7 linked regions of the Oryzias latipes genome follow. The protein of the gene in region 4 interacts with the protein of the main gene of each other region in a biochemical or structural test. Links are inferred from orthologs where the notes say so. Each region holds a gene or a part of one and is shown on either strand. Other genes may lie near its edges. The genes, in order: esr1, rnf4, pou2f1, sp1, e2f1, retinoic acid receptor alpha-A and atf7ip.

Region 1 (3,928 bases), on a different chromosome or scaffold from region 4:
GCACACTTAGATGCCCTTATCTGAGAGGCACCAAAACAAACAGGATGTGTAATAATTAGTTGTACTTCTGAGATGTAAATATCTTCAGGGACGTGCTAAAGTTCAAGTTTATCTGCACCCTTGCGGAGTGTGCGTTGCAGAAAAACAAATATTGAGGGCCGCTTTCATGTAGAAAATGGTAAATGATGGGAACAAAAAAGCTGAGGCGGGAAAATCTCTTGTCAGGTGAAGTTAGTGCTCACCGCCTTTCATCATTCCCACTTCGTAACACTTCCTAAGACGACAAGCCTGGCAGCTCTTCCTCCGATTTCTGTCAATAGTGCACTGATTGGTCGCTGGGCACATATAGTCATTGTGACCTGAAATGGAGAAAAATATATTACTTTCAGCCTTCAAGTCCAATGTTCAGTTTAGATTTAGGTTATTTAGTAGCCAGGAACACTGATAAAAGAATCTGGGGAGGAGAAGATGAAAATGTGGCATCTTAGCTTTTCTATTGCCATGGAAACATTTTGTAACCTTCTGACTGATCCTTCATTACACAATTATATCGTGAACATGACTGAACCATCAAGCAGATGGAGCTTTTCTCTTCAACTGTTGTGATCCAAAAACTAACCACAAAGGCTTAAATGTGCGCTCATCAATTCTTTTGATTTAAGACTAGTCATTTCTACGATATCACAATTTATGATGATTATCAAAGTATAATTGAGAATTTTTCAGATCAGACTGATTTGACATTTTTGACAGTTTTCTAAATCCAGAAGACTTTTTAGTGTGGCTTCCTACCCTGGATGCTCCTCTTGAAGAAGGCCTTGCAGCCCTCACAAGACCACACCCCATAGTGGTACCCAGAGGCGTAGTCGCTGCACACGGCGCAGAAACGCGTGTCTTTGGCCATCTCAAACCCCCCAGCCCCGGCTCCGGCGCCTAACTCCCCCAGGCTGCACGTGTCCTCCCGGGAGCCGCACTGGTCCTCCCTGGAGGCTCCCTGGTGGCTGGATCTGCAACAGGTTGTGAATCTTAATCTGACCATTTCTGGTTCTGTGGTGCTAATAAAGGACAGAATTTGCCAAAAGATGATCAAGAACATTCTGACTAAAAATATGAAAGTGCAAAAACAGACTTGTGTTTTCCACCGGAACCAGAAAAACAAAATTCATGTGAGCCTCTGTTGTTCTTACGTATTGTTCCTCTCTCAAGGTCTCTGACAAAGTCCTTAATCTCTGGATTTAGAAAGCAGGACCAAGCTTGATCCTTTACGAAAAGATAAAGTTGTGTGTTTTGTATAAAGTGGAAGATTAAAAGGTTGTGTCATTATGTAATAATGTTTTGTTTATAAAAGCACTTGGAAGACTCAACTTTAAATGTCATTGCCATAAATTGTAAAATATCTAGTTTTCCGCCAAGGCTGCTCCTCATGTGTGACAGTGGGTGAAAAACACCCAAACTCCTTGATTTTTGTAATTAAACAAAGCAAAATAATAATCATTTTTTGGAATTCAGTACTTCCTTTTAACTCAGTCTGCCTAAACAAACAGTTGGATGAATCAGCAGAGGCTGAAACACAGACCTCTCCCCCTCATTTGTCCACTTTCATGACTCATTCGGAGCTAAACTGCCCTCACTTACCTGTAAACGGGCGTGGAAGTGGTTTCCAGATAGTGGTGGCTGGGTGGATGCATAAAGGGACTGAGTCTGGGGCTGGAGGGCACAAACACCAGAGGGCTCGTCGGCCCACTGCCCAGGGACTGCAGACTGCCTTCTGAGGGGGGTCCGTTTGTTTCCAGGGGAGCAGAGTAGTAGCCGGTGCTGGACTGGCTGTAAAGGGGAGTCGTGGCAGGGTTGGGGGCGGCATAGTCGTACGTCCCTTCCAAAAAGTCCACAGCAGCCACCCCTCCAGAACCCCGGCTCTCTTCAGGGTACATGTCACCGAGGGGGTCACGGGGCGAGAGGCGAGGTGGGGAGAGGGTCTCCAGCTCTGAGGAGGCTGGGCTGATCCTGGATCTGAGTGCTGGTCCGAACAGCTGCCTGATCTGCACCGAGCTCTGTCTGAGCAACATCACAGCACAACAGCGGCGATAAGAAGCATGATTTAGACTTGTTCTCCCATTTGCTGGGAGGGGGAGTGGAGTTCTCCTCTCCCTCTCTCTTTTTAGTCTTCCCTTTCTCTCTGTGTGGGGCTCATCTTTCTATTAATGCCTGTCAGACTACTTGGAGGGACCAGAAGATCCTTTTTCCTCGTCTCCCTAAAGCTTCAGCTCACCAAAAATAACGAAAAGGACTCCTCCCAATCTGCTGGTTTTGTCTCTCAGTATTTCCTCCAATATGTTTACACTCAAGTGTGGGAGTCACAAGTGGGAGAGAGAGGAAAAGAAAGGAATGTCAGGGAATAGTTATTCCTAAACTTCCCTGTCTCCTTCCACCTCGTTTGTCTAAAGCAAAGCTTTCCCCGGCTGTCGTGTGGTTTCCAGAAACTACAAACCAACAGAGCGACTCTGAATAATCAGCTTTTATTAGCAGAGGATGCGGCGTTAGTGGTGAGATGGCCAAAACACAACCAAGACTGCACTCAACCTAATTACTGGGTAAATAAAAGCAGGGATGCTTTGAAACAAAAAGGCTTAAAAAAGAAAAAAAAGAAAAGAAGAACTGCAAAATCAAGCATGAGACACCACTCACCTCTTACTCATGAATCATCCTCAGATGTGCTGCGCAACACGGGCTGCTTCCTCTCTGCCTGCCTGACAGGCATCTAGCAGCGAGACGGGCAGCTTCGGTGGAACCAGTGGAAAGGTTTGAAAAAGGATAAACAAATTAAAGATGCAGCCAAATCAATAACCATGGTGTGTTTAAGTGCCAGGTCACCATAACACAGCAAACAAAGCAGGGGGTCAAATCTCAATCTGACAGCCAACAATTACACAATCAATTCCAAATAAGGAAATTAATGGGGATTTTAAATGCAGAAAAAGAGGAAAAAAAGATAATAAACACAAAAAAAAAGGTTTGGTCAAAGGGGAAGTGGCAAAACATTTCCACTAAAGCCAAATTGCTGATGCCATAGATTTCTGGAAAAAAATAGTATTTACACTTTAAAGTTTTTTTTGTGTGTACTTGAATTACTAGGAAAGAAAAATGGACTTGAAATTCTTCCAGGAAAATTAGATTTGAATAATATTAACATAAAAATGGGGGGGGGGGCTAAAATAAAGCTGATTTTATCAAGATATGATCTTCTTATATGTTAGAATAAACATGAGCATGCTCGACTGCTGAAGGGGGGAACAAAAGCCCTCCTCCTCGTTCCTGTCCGGACTCTTTCTTGAACAAACAGCCCAATTTTCAAGACATGTTGGGGTCAAGTGGGAAACAAGTAGTCTTGATGATGATATGGATCATTTTGCATTTTTCCTAGAATAAAATTGATGACAGCAACACCAGGAAACAGCAAAAAATGACTGGTTGGGAAGCAAACGTATCCAGCAAATCACCAAAAATGGCTTTAGCACGCCTCTTAGAATAATTGACCTCATTTTCGTGACGGACCACCTTCACAAAGTACGACAATTATACCCCTCGTTCATTCAGAATTGTAATGCACATGTTGCAGCATTTCCAACTGTTTCGTTTACAGGTTTTTAAAGTCCGACCTGACCTGAATGCAACAGGTCAACATGCGAGAGCAGAAAAATAAAGACAAGATGCCCCACTCTTAGTTTCATCTATTTATTACCTTTTTCATCTGTTCAGGTTTATTACAAGTGTGTGTTTTATTTGAGCGCAGACAGGCGTCAGGATGGACTCCAGATTTTGGCCAGGGAGATTTAAAGCTTTAATCCAAACCATTCAGATTAAAAATCAACACCCAAACCTTCCTCTGATCTTTACTTTGAAATCAAACTTTCAGGCAAATCTGCCTTCA
Region 2 (3,934 bases), on a different chromosome or scaffold from region 4:
GGAGTCAGAAGGTTCTGAGAAACACTTTTATGAGCCAAGCTGCTGTTCTCACAGCATCAAGAGGAACAAAGTTAGGAAGAGAATAGATTGCTTTCACAGGTGGACAGCTGTCTGCATTTCTGCTGTTTTTCTAAACGTTACCTTTCCATGAGACAAAGGTTCTCTTTAGATGCCGAGTTTTTAGTTCTTTAAACGGGTTCTGGTTCAGACTTCAAAGGCAGGTTCGTTCATGCCTCTCACCCGTGCATTTCTCTTACCTCAGAGTACAGATCCAGACAGACCGGACAGCTGATCAGGCCTGGCGTCGACCTGAAACCCAACAAGAACCCAGTGACTTTTACTTCAAGAACCTGAGGAGCTTTGCTGCTTTCTGTCCTGGTTCTGCAGAACCATGAGCCCTACTCAAACTGATGTGAGTCCGTCTGTGTTCTCCACCCTCCTGTTTTGAGTTCACACTCCGCTCATCCCTTTCTAAATATCACCACAACATTTACTGTGACCTCTATGGATTCGGGGGAGCTTTGGTGTGCACGCTCCCCCGTCGAGCGTGCACACCGGGACGCTCCCAACTCCCCTGAACTAAACGCAGGCGCAGAGTTCGGTTCTTCACCTTGATGCATGTGCGGCCGCCGCGGTGGCGGCGCTGCTGAAAAGGGGCGTGTCCTCATCTTCATCACTGCTCAGGACGTAGCTCTCACCTGCAGGGACTGTGCTGCTCTGAGGATCTAACACAAACAGAAGGTCAGGTGACCCTCAGATGACCTGGTGACACACACTGAGGTCCAGGAGGACTTACCCTCATCCACCAGCTGGAGCGCAGAGACAAGAACAAGAGAAGAACATCAGCTTACAGCCCGTTTCCACAGCCCCCCCCAAAGTGAATGATGAATGACAGAGCGTGTTACCAGCACAGAGTCGTTGTTGTTGGTCAGGTCCACCACAGCAGCTTCTGCTCCCTCACAGGTAAGGTCCACCACCTCCTCCACACCTGCACACACCAGCCGTCGGTTACAAACACCTGAGGACAGCGAGGCCGTCAGAACCTCCAGGCAGCACTACAACCACCTGCTTTGATCCCTGAGGAGAAGCTGCTGCTGTGTTTGGGTCTAGAGGTCAGACTGAATCTTCCTCAAAAGAAAAGCTTCTGCTGGAAGCGTCTCCAGACCATGACACTTCCACTGCCGTGCTACAGGATGAAGACAGAGCCAGCTGAAGCTTACAGCAGACCCGTGCTCTCAGAGCAGAGGTTTAAAATGAGCCTAAACCCCATTTCCAAGTGAATCCTGGGGAAAAAAAAGGCTCCCGGAGGCTGACACACTGACCGTCGTCCGTGTTGTCCATCACGTCGATGGTCTCGGCAGGGGGAGCGGAGTCTGCACCGGTATGAGTCCCCCGGTTGACCGCTCTCCTGGATTGAGCAACTCTGCTGGTCTTGATGCTGGGCCTGGAGACCCGAGGACTTTCGGTGGGCCTTCTCTTCCTCTGGGCCTGAAAACACATGAACACGCAGGGCCTCAACCACCTCAGGTGAGCTCAAAGGCTGACCTGACACCTGGGAGTCAGGTTCACAACAGTCACAGTGAGCATCACTGAAGCAAGGAAAGCTGCTGCCAGTTTTCAGTGTGGTCAGAATGAAGCTCCACCCACTGCTCCACAGAAGCTTTAGGTGGAAACTGCTGACTGCAGCTCAGAGCAGCTTCCACAGAAACTGCTTTTTTCCAGATGATGATGGAGGAAAGCAGACGTTCCTTTATCATTACAGGGCGTGATGAAGAGAGGCATGCAGACGTACAGAGCTACTCATGTCCGTCCAGGAGCTGCGGGCGGCCGGGCCTTCGGAAGCTGCGGGGGGCCGGGCCTTCGGGAGCTGCAGGGACCCAGAGGAAGGGTTAAGGTTAGGATTAAACCCCCAAATGGTTCCTGAGCACTGCTGTTTCTGCAACTCGCCGCTCCTCCAGAGGATGGATCAAAAGAAGGTATCTATTTTTATAAATAGATTACTAAAACTGTCCCATTTCAAACTGTCGCGACTGCTTTTCAAACGTCGGGAGAGTTTCTTCTGTTGTCATCTGTGAGGGACTAGAAATGTTTGGTCAGACAAGGAGGATTAGGGGTGGATTATGTCAGACTTTTGTATGATAGAAAGATATACAAAGAGAATGTCAGGCATGGCCCATTGAAACATTTTGTTAAAATGCATTAATCTCCATTGGTTTAAAACATGTACTCTACAATCACAGAAGAAAGACGTTTGATCTTCCACCGCGCCACGAAAAAAGCTCCATCCAGCACCAGCAGTGTTTCCCTGTCCTCAGCTTCTGTTTTGTGCCTACACGCTTTCCGTAGCAGGTACAATTGGTCATTTGTCCTCAGTTATATGATTTATTCATCTGCTTTTTATATCAAAAAACTATTTCATAACGTCTCATTCGAACAAGCTAACAAGAACACACGTGCAGAGTGATTGGAGCAGTTATTCAACCACCGCTGGCTGCAGTTAGAACTGACGTACAGAGTCACGTGAGGAGCCGGTTTCCAAAGTAAACCATTTCTGTCACAACACCAGCATTTCGGTGATCTCTTTCTCGACTCTTACCGTTTGATGTTGCTGTCGTTTGCTGCTTGGCGCCTTTTCGGCCTCTTATTTTACTCCAAAAGTGTTATCCGAAGAACTGAGTCTGGTAGAGGCTATACACGCTGTCTGGACCGAGTCAGAACCGAACTCAGGACCACTGACACCATCTGGGAGAACAGTGGAGTGTGGGCCTCTATCTACTTCCGGTCTGCGGGCTCTTCTTCTGCAGCTGCGTCTGATCTGAAAGCTGCAGCGCCACCGTGTGGACAGGTCACCTTGTGTTTACCAAAATAAAACACTCAAAGGAAAATGGTGTTTTGAGTTTTTGACATATTTTTGCGGCATTTTTTTTCATCATGGGGCAAATGAACATATATAAAAAAAACTAAGAATAAAAAAGCATTTCTAGGCATTTTTTTTCCAAATCGTGGTGAATCAAGAGCAGATTTTATCCTTAGTTTTAGAAATGTAAATTTAAAAAAAAAAAAAATAATTAAAGATATCTTTTTAATTTAGCATTTACAAAACGTCTTTTACTTTTTTATTTGGCCTTTGAGTATTTTTTGATTTATCACTTATACATTTTTACCCTATTATTCTAGACGGTACCTTCTCAAACCATCAGCCGTACCGGTTTGACCATTTTATAATCATCTTCTGATGTTTTTAGTCTTTGATGTGTCATGATTTTTTTCTTTCATCCTATGATTGTGTCTTTTATGTTTAGTACCTTGGATTCTACCCTTGCTCCTTGATAGTTAGGTGCTCTGTAAATACATTAATGGAAAAATATATTTTTGTTTTGTATTTTGTTTTTAATAGCTTTTCCCCCTCTGTCAGTTTATCATATATAAACTAAACTCTGCTGAGATCCTGTTTCTGTCCTTTCCTGGTTCCTGTCTGAGCTCAGCGTGAACGTTGAAGACGTGTCTCGTTAACATCCTGCTGTGCATGCGTAGAAGGACCAAAAATCATGTCTTAGTCACTGCAAAACACTGAAGAAACTCGCTTCAGCTGTGTTCACACAGCAGGGACCCTAGTGGGCAGAGGACCAGAGTCTGAAAAAAAAGAACTTAGTTACATCAGAACAAAGAGTTTGGTTAGACTGTCTCATCTCTATCTCAGAACCTGCAGCTGCACCAATGTAAACGTCTGTGGAGCCATCAAGGGTCTACAACATGTGTCAAACTCAAGGCCCACCATGTCATTTTCTGTGGCCCGCCAGAGCATAAAAGCTTTTAATTTCTTAAAATAAAAGTTGGTGTGTATTTATTCATATCTAGGGGGAATCTGACTTGAAATATCAGATTGGGGAACTAAACATTAGGACTTAAACACTGTCTATATAACCTAACCTGA
Region 3 (3,964 bases), on a different chromosome or scaffold from region 4:
GTATCTCATTTTAAATGTATCATCCCATGCACGTAAAAAGTTCATTGTGACTTTCTTTGAATACATTGGAGTAGTTTTTTTCAAATTCATGAATAAAAATGCAATTTTGTTTATTAATAATGGAAAAAAAAAGACTGCATTATTTTGCCAAATGGCCTCTTTATATTTACGAATTTTCTGTTTTGCATTATACAGTCATGAATGATTCATTTCAGCAGAAAATCACCAGAAACAACTAGTCTATTCCTAAGGAGACACAAAACTCCTATTATCACATTTTTTTTCTCCTTTCTCTAGAGTGAACAGGCTTGTCTGACTAGAGCCTTCATCGAGGCCTTCTCAGTACTTTGAGGTGGCATGTCCTGAATTTATTACACCGGGTGATGAATTATTCATAGCAACTGTGTTTACATCAATGAATATTCATGATTGAACTACAAGGCTGGCGTGAGGGGGAAACTGGAAACTGAAAATGAGAAAAGTAGCTTCAGTGGGATGATGGAACATTTCTTGTGTTTTCTATGGAAAGCACTATTTATTAAGTTGGATATTTAGGGAAAAGAATAAGGATATTTCCAGAACAAGAAATCATAAAATCCAAAAGACTGAAGAAACCTGCACTTTCAGTGTTGTGACACAAGCAAAATGAACTATTTCCTCAGCCATTCATGTGTGATGAGTTCTATGACTGCGATTCGACTTGACATGCAACACTGTGCCATTTTTGAAAGTCAAATTTTATTTATTTACTGGTACTTAATAATTTGATTAAAATGACATATTTTAATGGACCTTTTTAAATTAAATTACGACCTAACACAAATTTGCAAAAAGCCCTTACTCTGTCAAATTTTAAGGCCAAAACAGTCAAACTTTAGATTAATCTATGGGGAAAAAAATCTAAGTCTTTGTACTTTTTCTACAGTTGAACTTCTAAAAACATTTTAAAGTAATGCTACAGAGCATTTTGGGAAGACAAAAATCATCATTATGAAGTCAACCGCAATAACGTAAACTCTTCATAAGTTTAGACTTATATTGATTTATATAAAAAATGTTTTCAATTTGAGATTTTACCTTTGCTTGTACTCGTTTTTCTGTTTTTTATTTGATTTTAAATTTTTAATATTTTATGGGATGTTTTTGAAACAGCTTGTGTGAAGACAACCCTGTAGTTGAACAATTGAACACCAATTAACAACAATTAAAATTAATAATTTTAATAAATAAATAAATATTTATTTAAAAAAGAAACACTAAAATTAGAATATTTACGAATGAAAGAAAATTGTCTAAAAGGTGTTTACAAAGATATAGAATCTTTTGGTAAAGTTAAGATGGAACAACCCTGATTGCCTTGGCTATTATTTTGAAAAGAACAGGCAAAACAGTGCCATCAAGCTTCAAGTGTCTTGAACAGTCATGAAAGCAGCAGGGAGAATAATAAGAGTGCTGCCCGTTATTACTGTGGCCTTCCGGAAGTGGGCCTCACCACCCCTTCCTTTGCCTGAGGGGGGTACAGGTACAGTCCTAATTTAGTACAGCTCGGCCAAGTCAAAACTCCAAACACAAAGAGAGGCCCAACAGCTTTAAAAATGTTTTTAAAAGGGGTCCAACAGAAGCCACGAGCGCGCTCCATAATAAAGTGAAGCCAAAACAGAACAGTACCACCAAGTCTCAGACGACTCCCACCTCAAGTCGATGAAAACAATGCTAGTCCCAACTTCCACCATAATCCCGCACATAAAAAAACACCGACAAAACAGCCAGGTTTGGACCATTGATCTAACACAAAACATCAAAATAACACTAAATATAATTATTAATAGCTCAGGAGGTACAGTCTATATTACAACCATAACAAGCTATCCCCGCTCATTTAACGTAAACAGACGACAAAATCGCGTTACAAAATATTGGCAAGTTGTGCCGCGCAAGGCGAGCTCGTCAACCGTGGATGGAATATGCTGAACTCCACACTACAGTGTATGAATAACACAACAGGCTGCCGTGGCTCCGCTGCGCCAAGCACAAAAGGCAAGGGGGAAAAATGCTCTGCTATTTAAAAAAAAAAAAAAGGAGAAAAAATGATCATGTAGTAGAGCCTCAGAGCTGAGAGACACAGAGCTGACGCCGTGGGGTAAAACTAGTAAAAGACGGCCTCAAATAAAAATACGACGCTTAGATTGAAATACCCAGGATAAATGTTTGTACAGAGGTGCGCGCGGCCACTGCCCGGCTGGTAAAAAATGAATATGCAAACGTTTCTCAAAAGCCTCAGTGTACATCAACACAAAGCCGAGCGTTAGCACGGGCGCTACAGCTAGCCAGCTAGCACCCCCAGTCCCATCAAACTGCGTCCCTCAAATACAAATACAGCCATATGCGTTCCTTATGAACCGGAGCCACGACGCTGATTACTAATAAAATATGCTAAATTGTATTTGTCGACAGACATATGAATATGTAGCGGCGTACAGCCGTCTAATCACACAAAGGGGGGAGGCATGTTTCCATGTAATTTGCCGTCGCACTGCAATAGCCCGTTTCCTCCTCTGTCAAATTACAGATGGCCAGCTGTGTGCAAAACTAAAACACCGCTCCGTCGAAGCTTTATCTGCTTGTCTCTTTTCGAGTCATCTGTATTCTGGTATCATAAATTCTGAGTAAGAACGTTTGAATACGAGTATGAATATGTAAAATGCCGTAATCATTACCTGGTCCTGAACTCTCATCTTGACTCGCTGCTCCTCCGTCCGCCATTTTGAATATTTAACCCGAAATTCCAGCCCTGAGTCAGGCACACACGCGCGCGAGCGCACAAACAAACGCGCGCGTGCACACACACAAAGCACACAAACCTGTTCGGAGGACAGAAAAGGACAGTTTTTCCCTTCTGGCTTGCTTAAATACTTTAAACATATATTATCTTATCTTGCACAGGTTTCTAACAACACTTTTATTAACTGCAAATAAACATAAAACAAATAATAAGCTTTTACTTTACAAAAATAAGAAGTTTATTAAAATTATGAATTATAATACATAATTTAAAGACCCACTCCCAGGAAAATCGTTGTTTTGAGTATTTTTTAATACATTCTTGTGGCATTTTTCATAATGAAGGAGTTAAAGAAAATTAAGCTCAAAATTGCATTTTTGAAATTCTTCATTGTGAAACAAGAGCAGACGGAAAAATGCAGTTGGAAGAAGATCATACTTGTGACGCAGAAAATAGATTAGGCGGGCCACAAGTTCCCTGCTCTGTTTCACTCTGATGCATCCTTGTAAACAAATAGATCCATGTACGTCTCTTTTTCTTCATCCAAGCTGGGATATTTACTCAAAACGATACAACTGGAAAGCTCCAATATTGATCACCATTTTCTGTTGCACCAGTGATGTTAGGTTAGGATTCTGTGGGGCTGTAAGCTAGCTGGAGAGGTGTAAATAGATGGATAATGGGAGGGTGATGGACACTCTGTGCCAACGGTCCTGCCAACAATGTAAAGGTGAATTTCTGATGAACTGCTGCCTCTCTGCAGAATCTATATCCTAGAAAAACAACACAGGTTTTTCTTTATTTTGGCTATAAACGGAATAATCCAAATTAAAACGCTACTGGGAACGCTTTGAAAATAGATCAAAAGGTTATTGGAGTAGGACTTTAATGGATTTAATGGGTTGAGGCTATAAACAGTGTTATGTCTGATCTGTGCTGTTCCTCAGTGTTCACACTTTGGCCCTCTCGGATTTCAGGTCACTTTGTTGATCATTCAAATCCTTTCAACATTTGTCAGAGAATATGACAGATGATACAATACTATTTTATTCCATTTTGTTCTTGACTTAGAGTTTAACACGTTGACCTGCCGAATCCTACTACAAATTAATAAACTATCTTCTTTTTGGCTTTCAGCTCTTTTTAAGAGTCACTACAGTGAATCATCTACCTCCTTCTCAC
Region 4 (3,122 bases):
GCCGTCAGCGTGAGGGCCGTTGTCCAACTGGAATCCTCTTTCCTCTGGCCCAGTACCACGGATTCTCTGACGTCCATTCTTACCTCAGCAGGTGGAGTACATGTGTTCATCAAGATACTAGTTAAGTTGAACTAGTAGTAATAGTTACTAAATACCAGGAGAAAATGTGCAGTTTGGAACATAAAAGTGGTCTGTTAGTTTTTGACAAATGGGATTCTGGATTTTTAACTCCAGGATGAATTTCATTAAACTCCACTAAAAGCTAAATTGTTTAACTCAGTAGATGGAACTTGTGCTTTACATTTGAAATGACGAAGCATGAACTCCTCTCTGCTTACAGCCTCCGTGAGAAGCTGAAGTGCGAGGAGAGTATGGGGATGTGAGGAGAGTATGGAGTATTGTCTTATTTTGTGCATGACCCGCATTTTAAACGAATAAATTGGTTTCTGACATGTGTTGAGTGAATGCTGAAACACAAGCTTGCCGTGAACTGAGAAAGTAGATTAATTTTTAATCAAGCTGTTGGCATTTGCAATAGATGTATAAACACATTATAAAATCCCTTATTTTAAAATGCAGGGGGGACATAAGAGCACTTGTCCAATAAACTTAAGTCACTTTTCTAAAAGGTTGTGAAGATACATTGCACAGATTACAGAGTTTCACAAAGCAGAACTAAAAGGAAAAAACAGCAATGCAAACCATAACTTTAGTAACAACATCCTGCTGTTTTTATATTTAGACATAAAAGAAAACTGATAGGTTTCATTCATACTTGTTCTCCAGTTTTAACATATGCATCATATTTGTACAAAGAAAAACAAAGTTCATTGACCAAAGCCAAACTTCTTTCCAGGCTCTTCTCTGGCAAACGACAGAAAATGAATGAACCTTTGGTTTGAGCTTGTAAACTGTATAAACATTATTGCAGTTTTTTTTCTCTTTTTTTTTTTGCTCTGGCCATAAATGACAGGGGAAAAAACTCAAATTGAAACTGAAAGTGACATTGCTCTCAAATTCTTAAAAGAAAGAAGTACCACAGGAAAGGAAAACTTAATATTACCACAATGTGTCAACTGGAAGATTGGTGCTGTATATAACATTCTATGAAAGCTTTGAAGTTTATACAGTTATTCTATATTGATTTATATATAATAAAAAAATAAAATGAAGATTGTGCATTCAGGAAAGACTAAAGCATTATCCTGCAATCAGGTAAGATGATCCTGCCTAATTTTGATTTTTACAAAAAAAAAAAAAAAAAAATATGTACACTTTTTAAAAAAATGCTTTGATACCACAGATATTAGAGTACAATGGCTTGAATGTGTTCTTACATCAGAGTTATCCCCAGGACTTGCTGGCAGACAATGCTTTTGGCCCAGTTTTGCTGCTGGGTAATTCATCCATGCACTAAGACAGTAGAAATGCAAGCCAATAAAATTACCCAATGTTATCACGACTATCAATCAAGTATTCAGTTTTAGAATCTAAAACATGATGTTTCCTTTGAATTTTAGGGAAATGTTTAACGGTGCTGTGGGCGGGGCAAGACACCTCTGATGCAAAGAGGGGCAAACAAAACAGTCCTGCAGGAAGTAGAGCGAGTGACTTAAGGTCACCTCTTCACTAAAGAAACTAGAGAATATTACTGGTCTTAAATTAACTATCAAATGTCTAATTTCAATCCCACTGGTTTAACTTTGTTGGAACTGGGGGGAAAGTTGGTCTAACTGCCATTCCTTTGCAGGGAAAATAAATTTCACAGTGTTTAATAGAGCATCTTAATCTATTAAATACTACCAATATCTAAATATAAAAATCAAAATTTGAATTTAGCATATATAATGTTGCATTGGTGACCCTTTTCTGTTTTAACACCTTGGAGGTTTTGCTTTATGCCCTTTTTTCTGTTTGTTTTAAGCCCAAATTCCAAACAGGGAATTTCCCCCTCTGTTGATTTAATAATTGTTTCCATTGATCTGGTGAAGGTCCACCTGCATCATATTGATACCACTACTGGCTAAACGAGCTAAGCTTTCTGCAGATAAGGTTTCCATGGTGACGATGGAGTGTTGGTCATTGGCCGACACTGCTCCGCTGCCTGCTTCTGTTCCTGCTGCCGGGGAAGCAGCATCGCCCGCTAACGTGGAGCTGTTGGTAACTGTCCCAACTTTCTTGTTAAAGTGGGTCTTGATGTGCTTTGAGAGATGGTCACTACGCATGAAGCGCTTGGGACATTCAGTGCAGGCAAATCTTTTCTCACCTGGAGAAAAGGGGAAGGAAGGGAGAGAAAAGAAAACATTTTAGGCACCTGCTAGATTGACTTTTTGCAACATAAAAGTACTCATTTCTTTAGACTGTCAGTATTTATCTTTTTATTTACAGCCATGGTCAAATATCAGCATCCTTGCAATTTTGTCAGATAATTATTGCAATTGTAAATGTTCATATGTTTATTGTTTTGGACTACAATTTTGGCACCATGTAAAAGCCTTTTAAGCATGTGATACTCCAGTAATTTGTGTTTAGACACACCTGTGGCACCTAACAGGTGTGGGCAATATAGTAATCCCGCCTACAGCCAGTTATAAATGGAGAAATGGAGGACTCTGATCACAGCTGTTCCTGTTCCTTTGTTTTTTCCAGCGCAAAAAACTAAAACACAAATACCAAAACATCTGGAACAATTCTCAGAAAAAAGTGTGACATTTTCGGACAGAATTGCCAGGGCGCCGGCCTTTGGAGCCATGACTACAACAGAGGCAGCAGCTGGACTCTCCCAGAAGAAAATAGTTATTTTATAGGCTTATACACGTCATTCGTGGTGAGGTTCGTGGTCATGACATTCCAGTACACAAGACCAATACTAGCAAACGCACACTGTTAAAGCAGGTTTGTGTAAAGTAAATCCTAATTTCTACCTGTGTGTGTCCTCCGGTGGCGCTGGAGCTCATCTGAACGCGTGAATCTTTTACCGCAGAAAGACCAGTTGCAGACGAAGGGGCGTTCTCCTGTATGCCAACGAAGGTGGGCTCGGAGGTGTGAGGTCTTCCCGTAGATTTTCCCACAGCCGCTTATGTGACAAATGTGCTGCTTCTTTTTAGTTGGATCACTGATTA
Region 5 (4,197 bases), on a different chromosome or scaffold from region 4:
TGTCGTACCTCGACTTCTCCGCCGTGCTTCGAGGAACTGGAAAAGCAGTGAAAAACACGCCGCCTTAAACCTCCTCCACAAACAAAACACACATCCAGGTGGAAAACAGGTGATCCTCCGACTCCAGCTGTGAAGACGTTCCAGCGGCACAGGCAGGCCTCGTTTGGACCACGCCATCGAAACTTTTATTTTCTTTAAGGTAATATTTATAACCAGCCTTTAAAGAAACTCCAAGCCCCGCCCTCTCTGACGTGGCCACGGGACCTGGATTTCGGAGCCACGGCGGGTCTTTTGGTGGTTTAAAAATAGAAATCCACCGATGAAGATTCTGCTGAAGGAAACATCTTAGAACTGAACGGTCAAATGTGGATTTCAGTGATAAAAAAACAAAAGGAACTGAGGCTCAGCCTTCAGCAGAAATTCTCCTTCAACTTCTCATCCCAACGGCCCCAAACGTCTGCGGACGGAAACGCTTCACGCAGCATGTGGACGCCATGATGTCATGAGTCAGTCTGAGCGTTACGCAATCCAAAAGATGTAAAATGATTGGTGGTCCTGTTCAAAAACACAGGACCTGGACTGCTCTATCCTGCATTAAATTAGGATTTAGATAGTAAAGAATTCATTAAACACAGTTTCTGACTCATGAAAATGTGAAATAGGAGGATTTTATAGTATTTTACGCACCGGGTCCTCCTAAGACCCGGTCCTTTTGAAAAACCGCTGGACCTGGACTCATTTTTATTTAATCATTTTAAAGTTTTTGTGGCTTTCCTGCTCGCAGCGCTCTGTTGTTTGGGATTCTGTTGCCTCCCCTCTTGTGAATTCGTGTCGTCTGCCTGCAATGCAGCTCACCAAACGACGGCAGACTAAAAATAGATCATTTTAAATTGATCAACTACATAAAATCATCCCATTTCAATGTTCATAAATCAGAAGCTGTGTTTAATGAATTCTTTACTATCTAAATCCTAATTTTAATCCAGGTTTGAGCAGCCCAGGTCCTGTGGTTTCTGAAAAGGACCTGGTCTAAGGTGGTCTTAGGGTGAAAAATGCAGTGGAATGTTCCTTTAGTGCCCCCGCTAACCGGACGCCAGCTTCAGCGCCGTGAAAGGATGCCGAGTCGGCGCTCCTGCTCCTGAGCGTGCGGCGTACCTCTGGGAGGAGCAGGAGTAGAAGGAGGTGCTTGGCTGGCGGAGGATCGGGTGGTGCTGACATACTGGTGGTCGCTATCCAGGTCCAGCTTCCTCTTCACCTAATCATCAAATGAAGAGGAATCGATTATGTGAACCCCGGCGTGTGATGATGTGGCGGCGGCGGCCGCCTTGAAGCCACGCCCTCACCGGAGGTCTTCCCAGAGCCGGCCTCCTCCTGTCCTGGCCCCCCGCGTCGGCGTGGCTCTGCGGCGTGGCGAATAGCAGGATTTCCCCCGTGCTGCTGGGGGCGGCCAGCGGGTGGAGTCCCTCATTGCTGGGGCTGGTGATGATGACGATCTGGTGGTCCTGGCTCAGATCGATGCTCCCGGAGTTCAGCAGAGTCTCAAAGTCCTTCAGCAGATCCTCGGATGTCTGACCCGTTATCAGAGTCTCTGACATGGCACTGCCTGCCGCCCAAAGGGCTCCTGCAGCAGACTGGGGGAATGCCAGGGAGGGTGGGGGCACCAACTGGGGTATCAAAACAGGCTCAGCACCAGGTGACCCCAAACATGTTAGGAGGACTTGAGGAGAAAATGCTGATCCATTAACCTCTCCTCCTCCTCCTCCTCCTCCTGCTGAAGGTTGACCTACAGCGAGCCTGAAATCTGCAGATCAACCACAGAGGAGTCGAAGGTTCAAACGTCAAGGCGAGACGTGGAGCCCAAACAGGAAACGACCCGCTGAGCGCATCCTACTTTAGGCTCACGCGCTGCTCGGCTCGCGCGCCGTTTTCAGCGGAAATAAAAGAAGGTCAAAAGACGAAGTAGAAGAAGAAACCCGCCGTAAATTGAGATCATGAGCGAGCTAGCCTGCTAGTCTTTCGTTTTCCTGTCAGAGGCCTCGCCACTCCGTCCTCAAACACAGAGCTACCAAGCTAACGAACTAGCTTACCACAAGAAAAGACTACAACAACTTTGCTAATAAACACGAACAACAGCAGAGGACTACATTTACCACCACTACCTAAAAGTTTATCTCCTTTTCCCTACGATATGGCTTCATTAACGGGTTCGGAAAACTTTATAGACGCTCACAGAACTGGGCTATCTAAGCAATAAAAAAAATACACATTCACTCGGCGGAGGCATCATGATCGCAGATCCACACCATCTTTGAGAAAATAGTTCCCAAAAGAAAGCAACCATCCGTCCGGGCGACGGCGACGACAGAGAGTTTAGCGCGGAAATACGGGGAACTTTAGCATGCTAGCTTCAGGGATTAGCTGCAGTTCTTCGGTCCCCCTCGTACTGTTGGGGCACGCAGGAAGCACTCGGAGAAACGCGGGAGATGCAGACAAAACGGAGGAAATACTCGCTCAAACGTTAAAAAATGTGCCGATGCTCCTTCGTCTGCTCGCCGAAGATCGGGTCCATCTGTAAACGAGCCGCGCCGACCCCATTAGCAGCCGTCATTGTTGTTGTCCCAGCTGATCTATATCTAAACAAGGCTGGACGGTTTTCGCGCGAAATCCTTTTTGCCGCGAAACTGGCACGTGGGGAAAAGCGACCGCTGGGATTGGCCAGTGGGATTCGTTTTGCGCGTGACGCGATTGGTGTCTTCCGATTGGTGGAAATGGCCGTCTGTCACGTTACAGAGCATGGGGAAAACTGGCCTTCCATGTGACCAGGTTGGTGTTCTCTGATTGGCGGAGATGGCCGTCTGTGACTCTCCAGAGCACAGATTTGCTGATTGGGAGGTGCATTCACGTTCCACGGACAAAAGGCTTCTTAACTGCTTTGTTTAGGAAATTTTAAACAAAATAGTAAAACACGTAGTGTCAGTTTCATGTAAGGTTTCCCAAAACTAAAAGATAAACTCCTTTACCATATTAAATATATGATGTAACAGTCTTTGCGTCCCAGCTTAAAAAAGTTACGTTTTTTCAATGTAGTCCCTAGCGCTCCCTCTCCGTTTAAGCAATCAGATTAACAAAAAATAAAGTTAAATCTGATTGCTTAGGAACTTTCTAAACTAGAGTTTTCTGGGGGTCTGAACCAAATGTGATAAGTTTTTTTCTATTTGCAAATATTAATGTAAGCATTTCATTGGGGGGTCTGCACCTAAAGTAACAGACCCTACCAATCGATCACCGATGGTAAACAGGAGCGCTGTAAGATGGCGCAGACAATATTCGAGGCGCTGGAAGGTACAAATATAGTCTTATTTACCGCGCAATTATTAAATATGTTATATGCCAAAGAAAACCACATCATGTAAATTAACTGGAGACTTGTTTGAACACTAAATCACCCTTTAAACGGGTATTATGTAGGCTGTAAGCACCCTGAACTGAAGGGTTCTGCCTGATCTGATGATGATGATTGTAAACAACCTGATTATATTTTAAAGATTAAGACTGTACTGCTATAAACGGCTTTTTTTGTAAATGTAATATTAATTATTTCTGTAATATAATAACTCATCTCGTATGTCAGTGTAAAAGCTGTACATGTGACAATAAAAGCTATTCATTAATATGTGAACATGCACTCCTCGCGTTATTGTTTCTGTCACTTTCATGGAGAAGCAGATCTTCTTCTAACATGTTGTAAAAAGAAAAGCTGTTACTGATGTTAAATCCCTGTTTCCCTCCATCCCCTCAGGCATGGACAACCAGACCGTTCTAGCAGTCCAGTCCCTGCTGGATGGCCAGGGGGGAGTCAATGACCCCAACAACCAGAATGTGTCTGCAGGATCCACCATCCAGTCTATGGGTAAGGAGCATTCTGCACCGAGCTCCACAGGACTGCTACAGATTAAGACAACTAAGCTCAAAGTTGCATTTCCGAGTATTCGTAAAAGATCGCATTTGTGACGTAGAAAATCCGCCGGGCGGGGCCACAGGCTCCCTGCTCCGCCCCATTCTGATGCATCCACTTGCAGACAAATAGGTTGAGGGGCTTTTATCTAGTGTGTAAACAAAGAGCTCTCAGCAACAAGGGGGTTGCTCTGTGCCAACAGTCACGCCCACAGCTCCTGGCGCTCTGCAGAATCTATGTTC
Region 6 (3,500 bases), on a different chromosome or scaffold from region 4:
GTCCAGCCTTCTGGATGTGTGGGTGCACGCTCTCTGAATGTGGAACCGTCCCAGCTCCTTTCTTGTTTATCTTTTTTCTTTCTTTCTTTGCATTTTAATTCACTCCACTCCGTGTTGTCACCTTGAACCTGCGTAACGCCGCAGTGAGCGGGTGAGCGTGCATAATCGAGCGCTCTGACGGGCGCGTGCCCCGTGCTGTCGGAGAGTCCCTGCAGGCTGCAGATGGTTCGCGTCTCCGCTGCCTCCGGCACCGACCCAGACCAGTTTGGCGGGCCAAAGTCACTGCTGTGACAAAAAGTCGAGCAATCTGCCCACTCTGCACAAAATGTTTGGGCTGAACAGGGCTTTATTATAAAACAGGAGGTGTATTTATCGGACATGATTAGCAAAAAAGGAGTCCCTTCGAAAAAAGAAATTCTTCAAAAGTTTAGTTTTTCTACCACTAGAGGGCACTCTAACTCCACCTTTTGTGCTGTTTGCCACCAAGTGAAATTGGGTGTAAAAGAACTGGCTGCTGTGGTGTTTCTAACTATGATTAATGGCACCGTTCAAAGGTAAGGAGCTCAGAGGATAACTTTTTTTTAACTGTAAGCAACAGTGCTGTGGATATGGAGGGGGGGGGGGGGCATCAGTAGCAAAGACATAATGTGTTTATAGGCAGGTGGGGAGAAAGGACGCAGTGCATTTATAGCTCATGGCTGCGGGCGCCGCCGCGTCATGTGATCAGGTGAGGTATAAACCCTGCTGGCCTTTGAGCTCTCCGTGGTCACACCTCCACCAATTACTTCATCAAGTCTGACTGCCCGTGTGTGTGTGTTCACACAGCCCCCGGGGTGCAATGATGGGAGCAGACGCCTGCTCTTTCACTCTCGGCAGGTGAGAACATATTCATCACCCAGGCCTGCCAAGTCTGGAGACACGGCGACTGTTGCTGCCCGTCTCCATCGCTTCTGCCCTCGCTGCTACCAACACGGTTTATCCTGCAGATTAAACAACCAAACGCAGACAAAACTCTCACCGGGCTAATGCTGCAGCTAATCATTTGAAATAAAATAGGATTTGTGGGAAGCTGATGGATGGAAGAGCTGGGGAGGAAAAGCTTTCACAGGAATGATGAGGAATCCATCTCGGACATAATGGCAGCTTCATGATTTCACAGGACAATACGATGGACAGTCTTGAAAAAAAAAGATCAATTGGCCATGAATACACACACCTGAATTAAAGCCAGAGCTTTCATTTATTTCTTATTTTTTAAGAAAATCACTGTCCAAAGCGTGGGTGGAGATTTGAATCTGCAGTTACTACTGTCACATCAGAAATACATCATGAATGACAAGCATATAGTATTAAGATATAAAATATACTTTTGTTATTTTTGTTTTGAAAATTGTAACCGGATTTTAAAGCTCTAATACAGGAAAAAATGGATACACCCTCAAAGTGGATTTTCTAATCTTAGTATTTGGAAAAAACATTAAACAAATCATCTGGTTCAGGGCTTCTTTTTGTCAATTTAGGTAAAAGAAGAAGAAAAAAATACTGCTTTTCTTTTGAAAATCTTAAAAATAAACTCCAACAAACAAGAGGTTCAGCCTTTTGATGACCTTACAAAAAAAACTGGAAAAGGTTTTCAGTTATTGAAGCTTCAGAATTCACAAATTACTTATTTTCTTTTTATATTTTCATTGTTTTTCCCTCCCCGTCAATGAAATGTGTTGTACCTTTTGGATTAGTCAAGTTTTGGTATAATTTGGCTCAATTTATGATTAAAAAACAAGAAAAAAATATTGTTTTTTTCATAGTGCATTATCTAAACCAAATCATTCATTATTTTATTATTGCAGCCTAAAACTAAAACACCACAAGCATGACAAAGTTTAGGTAACCCACACAACATGATTAAGGGAAACAAGGAGATAAATTGAGGTCCTAAAAGGTTAAATAAGAACAAAAAAAGTATTAACTTCTTTCTTTTTCTGTTAAAAAGTCTATTTAAATCTATGAAATCTGTATGAAAAGGCCAACTATGGAATTAAGGCAGAAATCCATAAAAACTTAACTTTTGTCTAATTCTAGCAACGGAACAAACAAAAAAGTTTATTTTGCTCAGATTTAATTGAAACTTCTCAGGCCCTTCTTAAAAAATCTTTGGTCTATTACATCTTTTTAAGAATAAATGTGTTTATTTAGGCTCATTGTGAGCAGCAAAAAGATTGTATTTAAAAAAAGAAGAACAAAATCTGATCTCCTGAGACACAGAGCCTCTCTGACCGCTTTTATTTCTACGGTCAAAAATCGAACCAATAAACCCAGCAGTCAAATAAAGAATTATTCCACTGCATTGATTTTCAGCTGTAATTTTAAAGCCTTGAAAAACACAAAAATTGAACCAAATTAATTAAAAGCTGCAAGCAGGAGAACAAACTCTGAACTACTGCGATTAAACCCAACAACATGAGATCCTGTGTAGGTGGGAACAACGGGGATCTTTACTCACATTCCTTCGACATGCCGACTTCCAGGCACTTCTGTAACCGACAGTACTGGCAGCGGTTGCGGGTGACTTTGTTGATGATGCAGTTCTTCTCCCGGTGACAAGTGTACACCATGTTTTTCTGGATGCTTCTCCGAAAGAAGCCCTGCGTGGCAGAAGAACGCAGCGGTGAGGCTAAACAAACCACAGCACGGCTCTATAGGATGCTGCTACACCTTTAATCCAGGTAAAACAAAGCAGCATGTTTTTCAGGATGAAATAGGGGTTGATATTAGGAAAAAGCCAACAATACCACACACCGATGCAGATGAAAAGCACTAAACCATCAAGCAGTTAAGTCCATAAAGGGCTTAATCTGAGACATATGGCGCATTCCATTTAGAAATGAAGCCGGAAATGGCGGTGGCTTCTTCCCCGAGCCAACAGCATTCCAGTTTATTACAGAAAACCAGCGGAGCTTGCTCATTTGCCAGAAGAACTACTGTACTGTCAACAGTCGTATAGGCTCATAATGTTGCCCACCAGCTTGTCTATATAAGGTTTAAAGGAAAAAGAAAATGCTTTTGAGATGTTAAAAAGCCTCAAAGGGTTTTAGGTCAAAAGCCACGTGGTTGGCACACAACTGTGACCCAGTTCAGAAAGCTTCAAATAAGTCATTGTCGATCCAGGCCAGCAGACAGAGGCGTGCAGGAAGAGTTCTGCATCACAGGGTTGTGTAAGGCCAATAAATGCATCTGTCCTCCTAAATCCAAAAGTTTCCTCTGATTCCTTGGGATTACAAACACAAATAAATTCATGTACCAGAGGAATTTTCTCTGCAAATGTCAAACCAAACATGATTCCAAAGCTTCCTTCTATTTTTCTCGTTTGGGGCGTTGTAAACACATACCCATGTGACACTCGACAACAATAACAAATCAGCGGAGAAGCATCTAGTTATTTTTAATACCATGCGACCGAGGAGAAGAAAGTATTTGCGTTAATCCCAGTGGTTCTGTTGATT
Region 7 (3,390 bases), on a different chromosome or scaffold from region 4:
CCTACATGTTTTCCAACCTGCTGTTGAAGCTCCTTATTGGCTAAACACACCTGATCCAGGTAATTAACAGCAGAGCAGGCAGGATTTCTGGAAAACCAGCAGGTGGTTGGTCAGCCCTCGAGGTCTGGATTTGGTCTACCCTGCTCTAAGGTTTATTCACCAAAGGTCTGAGTTAACGTCATCAGCCCAGAGCCAAACCGCCAAAGATTGTGGACTTACTTCACACACGTTTGTCTGTATCACAACAAATCTTACCTTGCATTCCTAAAATCTCTCCTTATGGAAATGACCATCAATGGGTGCTAGCTACCTCCTGTTCCTTTTTACCAAAGCTGCCATTAACCGGTGCTCGCCGGTCCACCAGCAGCAGCGTGGCGTTCAGGGATGTTACACCATATTAATTATTGACAGCAAGCACAAACCTACACATCCTCAATTAGCTTAGGCAAGCTAAAGTGCCGTCTGACAGCGTGGTTAAAAACAGTTCATTAACACTTCAATTTAGCCGAACATTTAATAAAACTTTTTTTTATTGTTTTTGTCAAAGTCTCATTTCCAGACAGAACTTACAAAAGTTATTTTGTTTCTACCACACAAGTTTACATTTTTGTGCATTTGAGTTTACATGAAGAATCTTGCAGCCTATCCTTTAAAAAAAAAAAAAAAACAGGTGGAAAAAAAGGCTGGAACAGCGGGAGGCAACAGCATAAATATCTGACGTTGCAGAGGGGTTAGATCAATCAGATATTTACACGTTTGAGTCACAAAATAATACGTCACATACAAAGAAGAACCAGTGAGAATGAAGATTTGATTCAGCGATCCTCCAAGTCAGTCAGTAGTCCAGGATGTGGGTTTATTTACAGATACTGCATGTGTTCAGCATTGAGTCTTAACAGAAAAGGATTTTCTTTTAAATGAAAAAAAGAAGTTGCCATAACCATTCAAAGGCAAAAAACAAAAAAAACAAAAACTTTTATTTTTTCTGACGGTTTTAGGTAGAAGTGGAAGTGATTACATTTGTGCACTGAGGTTCACAGAAGGTACCGAAGCGTCCATAAATGTCCTTGGCTCGAACAGCAAAATAGTATGTGGAGCCAGACTGGAACTGTGTCAGCGTACAGGCCATAGGGAGGGGCAGCGCGTTCACCTCCCCTATCTTCTTCCAGTGCTGCTGGGCGGAGCTGGAGTTGGAGTTGTCTTGGTGAAAGGCGTACAGGTGATAGCTCTCTACGGTGGCGCAGCTTCTGTCGACCTCCGCCACACTCCAGGACAACACGATGCCGGTTTGACCCGGCACCAGCTTCAGCTGCAGTTGTTGGGGAGGAGAGGTGCGTTCGGCCTCGGGGGGTAAGCGTGTAGGCGCGGGGGCGACGGGGAGAGCAGGGAGCGCTGGGGCCGGACCCCGTGTTGTTGCAGAGGTTGTGGGGCGGGGCTTGGAAGCAGCATCCTATGAAAAACATAGAGAAGTTTAGAAAGCAGTCACTAGAAGTCACTTTTGATGTGCAGAAAAAAAATGACGAAAAGTTGATTATTTTAGGCTTTTAATGTGAAACCCCTCGTCTGGATTAGTTCAGCATTTTCAAGTTTTCAAATCAACAACCATAATCCTTTGACAGAAGTTACAGGCAACTGTTACTCGTATGCGAATAAAACCAAACAATTAGATGTGATCTTAAGTAGTTCAACAAAACTTTTTAAAATAAGGAAAAACTGTCAAAAAAATAAACCTTCATTTTTTAAATGTAGCCCTGAAGAAAAAGTAGAGTCTTGTCTTTTTGACCAGTTTTCTTTTTTCCGAAAAGAAGAAAATGAAGCTTAAAATTGTTGTTTGAAGTATTTCCTTATTCAAATTTTTGTGAATCAGGAGCAGACGAAGAAATGCCGTTTGAATAGGAGATCATTTGTGATGGGCTGTAAGCTAGCAGGAGAGTGGCCGGTCTATAATAATGGCGGGTCTGAAAGGTTCTCTTTACTTTAGATGCCAGTCGCCAATAGTGGCCGGGCTCCTATTGCTATTGACACTTCTGTTACATTTGAGCTCTTCTTCCTTTTTTCCCCTCAAACATCAGTGAATAAAAACAGAAAAACCCAAACCCTTGGGGGCCAGAAGCTGCTGTTATTATTTGTATAATCTTGTGTGAATTGTTCTCCATTCATGCTCGAGTTGCAGACACATGTAATTCTAAATAAGAACTAAAAACAATAAATTCAACATTTTCTGTTGCACTTCTACATCCTCACCTGTGGGGGGCGATGATGCACCGTTATCTGAGGATTTGAGGGGTTTTGATTGGTTTTTGGGGACGACCTGGCTGCAGCGCCTGCAGATAAATCACAAAGATTTTTTTAAACACACACAAAAAAAAAACAAGCAATAATTGTGAATTGCTTTAAGTGCTGTCGTTTGTTTATGAATTAAACATGCTAGGTTGTTCTTACTGGTGGAAATGCTGGTAACTGGGTTGGAACGCAACGCAGGAGAAGGAGGTGCAACTGTTGCATTCTTCACTCCTGTCACTGCAAAACAAAACAAAAAAAACTCTTAGTGTCAGGATTAAAGACAGGAAAAGTTTTTAAAACAATAAATTCATGAAGGGGAAAAGGACTCGTCTTACCTTGAACATCATCGTCATCCTCGGTAAGGTCGATGACGGAGCCTTTGGGTCGTGCTACAGGCACAACTACTTTGGTTGGCGGGGTTATGGTGGTTTGGTTGTCTAAATAAGATCATCTTGTTAGTTATTAAGTTAGAAGAACGAAAGTAAGCAAAGGCAGAGCTTCCATCTTCCTCACCTGTTTTTGAAGTTAGAGACGTCCCTTGTGGGGGTCCTGGGGCAGTAGAACCGGTCGCCGCCGGTACAGAGGTTGCAGGTGAAGATGCAGAAGACAAAGCTCCAACCACAGAGACGGACTGAGCCGGTGTCCTTGCTGTGGTCACAGAAACTCCCGCGTTGGGAGTAGTTATTCCACCTGCACCGCCTTGGTACACAGCACGGGCCACAGAGATCTGGGTGGAGGACACCTGACCCGCAGAGGCCTGAATTGCTGGGAGAGAGGCGGCCGTTGAGCTGGAGACCGATACTGGGTTGGTCGCAGGAGAGGGCTTGAGAATGAAGGTGGTGGTGGAGGGAGTGGTTTTAGCCTTGGTTAGTGAGGTGGCCGCAGACAAGGAAGAAACTGGGAAGTTGACCAGCGTCCCCGTCTGGCCATTAACCGATAGCGGCAGCTGGATAACCAGAGGCTGCCCCGCAGCCACCATGCTGCTCCCGGGGGCCGTCTTCAGCACCAGCGTGCCCGGCTGACTCTGAGTAGTGATGCCTGTGGCCAGCGTGGAGACGTTGTTGGCGCTGGAGGTTATGAGCTGCAGGATGGAGCCCTGTGGAACCA

What was found.
Region 1: the proteins of sp1 (region 4) and esr1 form a complex in vitro, tested with the Homo sapiens proteins (6 studies listed by BioGRID and IntAct). The link is inferred for Oryzias latipes from reciprocal best matches to the Homo sapiens genes SP1 and ESR1.
Region 2: the proteins of sp1 (region 4) and rnf4 form a complex in vitro, tested with the Homo sapiens proteins (2 studies listed by BioGRID, with this or other methods). The link is inferred for Oryzias latipes from reciprocal best matches to the Homo sapiens genes SP1 and RNF4.
Region 3: the proteins of sp1 (region 4) and pou2f1 form a complex in vitro, tested with the Homo sapiens proteins (3 studies listed by BioGRID and IntAct). The link is inferred for Oryzias latipes from reciprocal best matches to the Homo sapiens genes SP1 and POU2F1.
Region 5: the proteins of sp1 (region 4) and e2f1 form a complex in vitro, tested with the Homo sapiens proteins (4 studies listed by BioGRID and IntAct). The link is inferred for Oryzias latipes from reciprocal best matches to the Homo sapiens genes SP1 and E2F1.
Region 6: the proteins of sp1 (region 4) and retinoic acid receptor alpha-A form a complex in vitro, tested with the Homo sapiens proteins (2 studies listed by BioGRID). The link is inferred for Oryzias latipes from reciprocal best matches to the Homo sapiens genes SP1 and RARA.
Region 7: the proteins of sp1 (region 4) and atf7ip form a complex in vitro, tested with the Homo sapiens proteins (3 studies listed by BioGRID). The link is inferred for Oryzias latipes from reciprocal best matches to the Homo sapiens genes SP1 and ATF7IP.

Annotation. Positions count from the first base shown.
Region 1 is NC_019882.2:8,941,328-8,945,255, reverse strand, and holds the start of esr1 (estrogen receptor), read right to left. Parts: upstream 2,801-3,928; 5' UTR 2,697-2,800; coding exon 2,686-2,696; intron 2,056-2,685; coding exon 1,636-2,055; intron 1,008-1,635; coding exon 793-1,007; intron 360-792; coding exon 243-359; intron 1-242.
Region 2 is NC_019868.2:3,826,217-3,830,150, forward strand, and holds the start of rnf4 (E3 ubiquitin-protein ligase RNF4), read right to left. Parts: upstream 2,801-3,934; 5' UTR 2,597-2,800; intron 1,868-2,596; 5' UTR 1,805-1,867; coding exon 1,793-1,804; intron 1,489-1,792; coding exon 1,323-1,488; intron 989-1,322; coding exon 906-988; intron 810-905; coding exon 797-809; intron 726-796; coding exon 611-725; intron 310-610; coding exon 258-309; intron 1-257. UniProt on the Homo sapiens protein: E3 ubiquitin-protein ligase which binds polysumoylated chains covalently attached to proteins and mediates 'Lys-6'-, 'Lys-11'-, 'Lys-48'- and 'Lys-63'-linked polyubiquitination of those substrates and their subsequent targeting to the proteasome for degradation.
Region 3 is NC_019879.2:10,758,499-10,762,462, forward strand, and holds the start of pou2f1 (POU domain, class 2, transcription factor 1), read right to left. Parts: upstream 2,801-3,964; 5' UTR 2,764-2,800; coding exon 2,718-2,763; intron 1-2,717. UniProt on the Homo sapiens protein: Transcription factor that binds to the octamer motif (5'-ATTTGCAT-3') and activates the promoters of the genes for some small nuclear RNAs (snRNA) and of genes such as those for histone H2B and immunoglobulins.
Region 4 is NC_019863.2:10,441,023-10,444,144, forward strand, and holds the end of sp1 (transcription factor Sp1), read right to left. Parts: intron 3,116-3,122; coding exon 2,925-3,115; intron 2,267-2,924; coding exon 1,962-2,266; 3' UTR 501-1,961; downstream 1-500. Other genes in the region: cell division cycle-associated protein 7, read left to right, coding at 1-91, 341-383. UniProt on the Homo sapiens protein: Transcription factor that can activate or repress transcription in response to physiological and pathological stimuli.
Region 5 is NC_019865.2:2,000,237-2,004,433, forward strand, and holds the start of e2f1 (transcription factor E2F1), read right to left. Parts: upstream 2,801-4,197; 5' UTR 1,892-2,800; intron 1,802-1,891; 5' UTR 1,596-1,801; coding exon 1,344-1,595; intron 1,256-1,343; coding exon 1,156-1,255; intron 37-1,155; coding exon 1-36. Other genes in the region: znf341 (zinc finger protein 341), read left to right, coding at 3,312-3,342, 3,800-3,910. UniProt on the Homo sapiens protein: Transcription activator that binds DNA cooperatively with DP proteins through the E2 recognition site, 5'-TTTC[CG]CGC-3' found in the promoter region of a number of genes whose products are involved in cell cycle regulation or in DNA replication.
Region 6 is NC_019877.2:4,427,169-4,430,668, forward strand, and holds part of retinoic acid receptor alpha-A, read right to left. Parts: intron 2,643-3,500; coding exon 2,501-2,642; intron 1-2,500. UniProt on the Homo sapiens protein: Receptor for retinoic acid. Retinoic acid receptors bind as heterodimers to their target response elements in response to their ligands, all-trans or 9-cis retinoic acid, and regulate gene expression in various biological processes.
Region 7 is NC_019859.2:10,796,342-10,799,731, reverse strand, and holds the end of atf7ip (activating transcription factor 7-interacting protein 1), read right to left. Parts: coding exon 2,797-3,390; intron 2,721-2,796; coding exon 2,619-2,720; intron 2,521-2,618; coding exon 2,443-2,520; intron 2,325-2,442; coding exon 2,245-2,324; intron 1,451-2,244; coding exon 995-1,450; 3' UTR 501-994; downstream 1-500. UniProt on the Homo sapiens protein: Recruiter that couples transcriptional factors to general transcription apparatus and thereby modulates transcription regulation and chromatin formation. Can both act as an activator or a repressor depending on the context.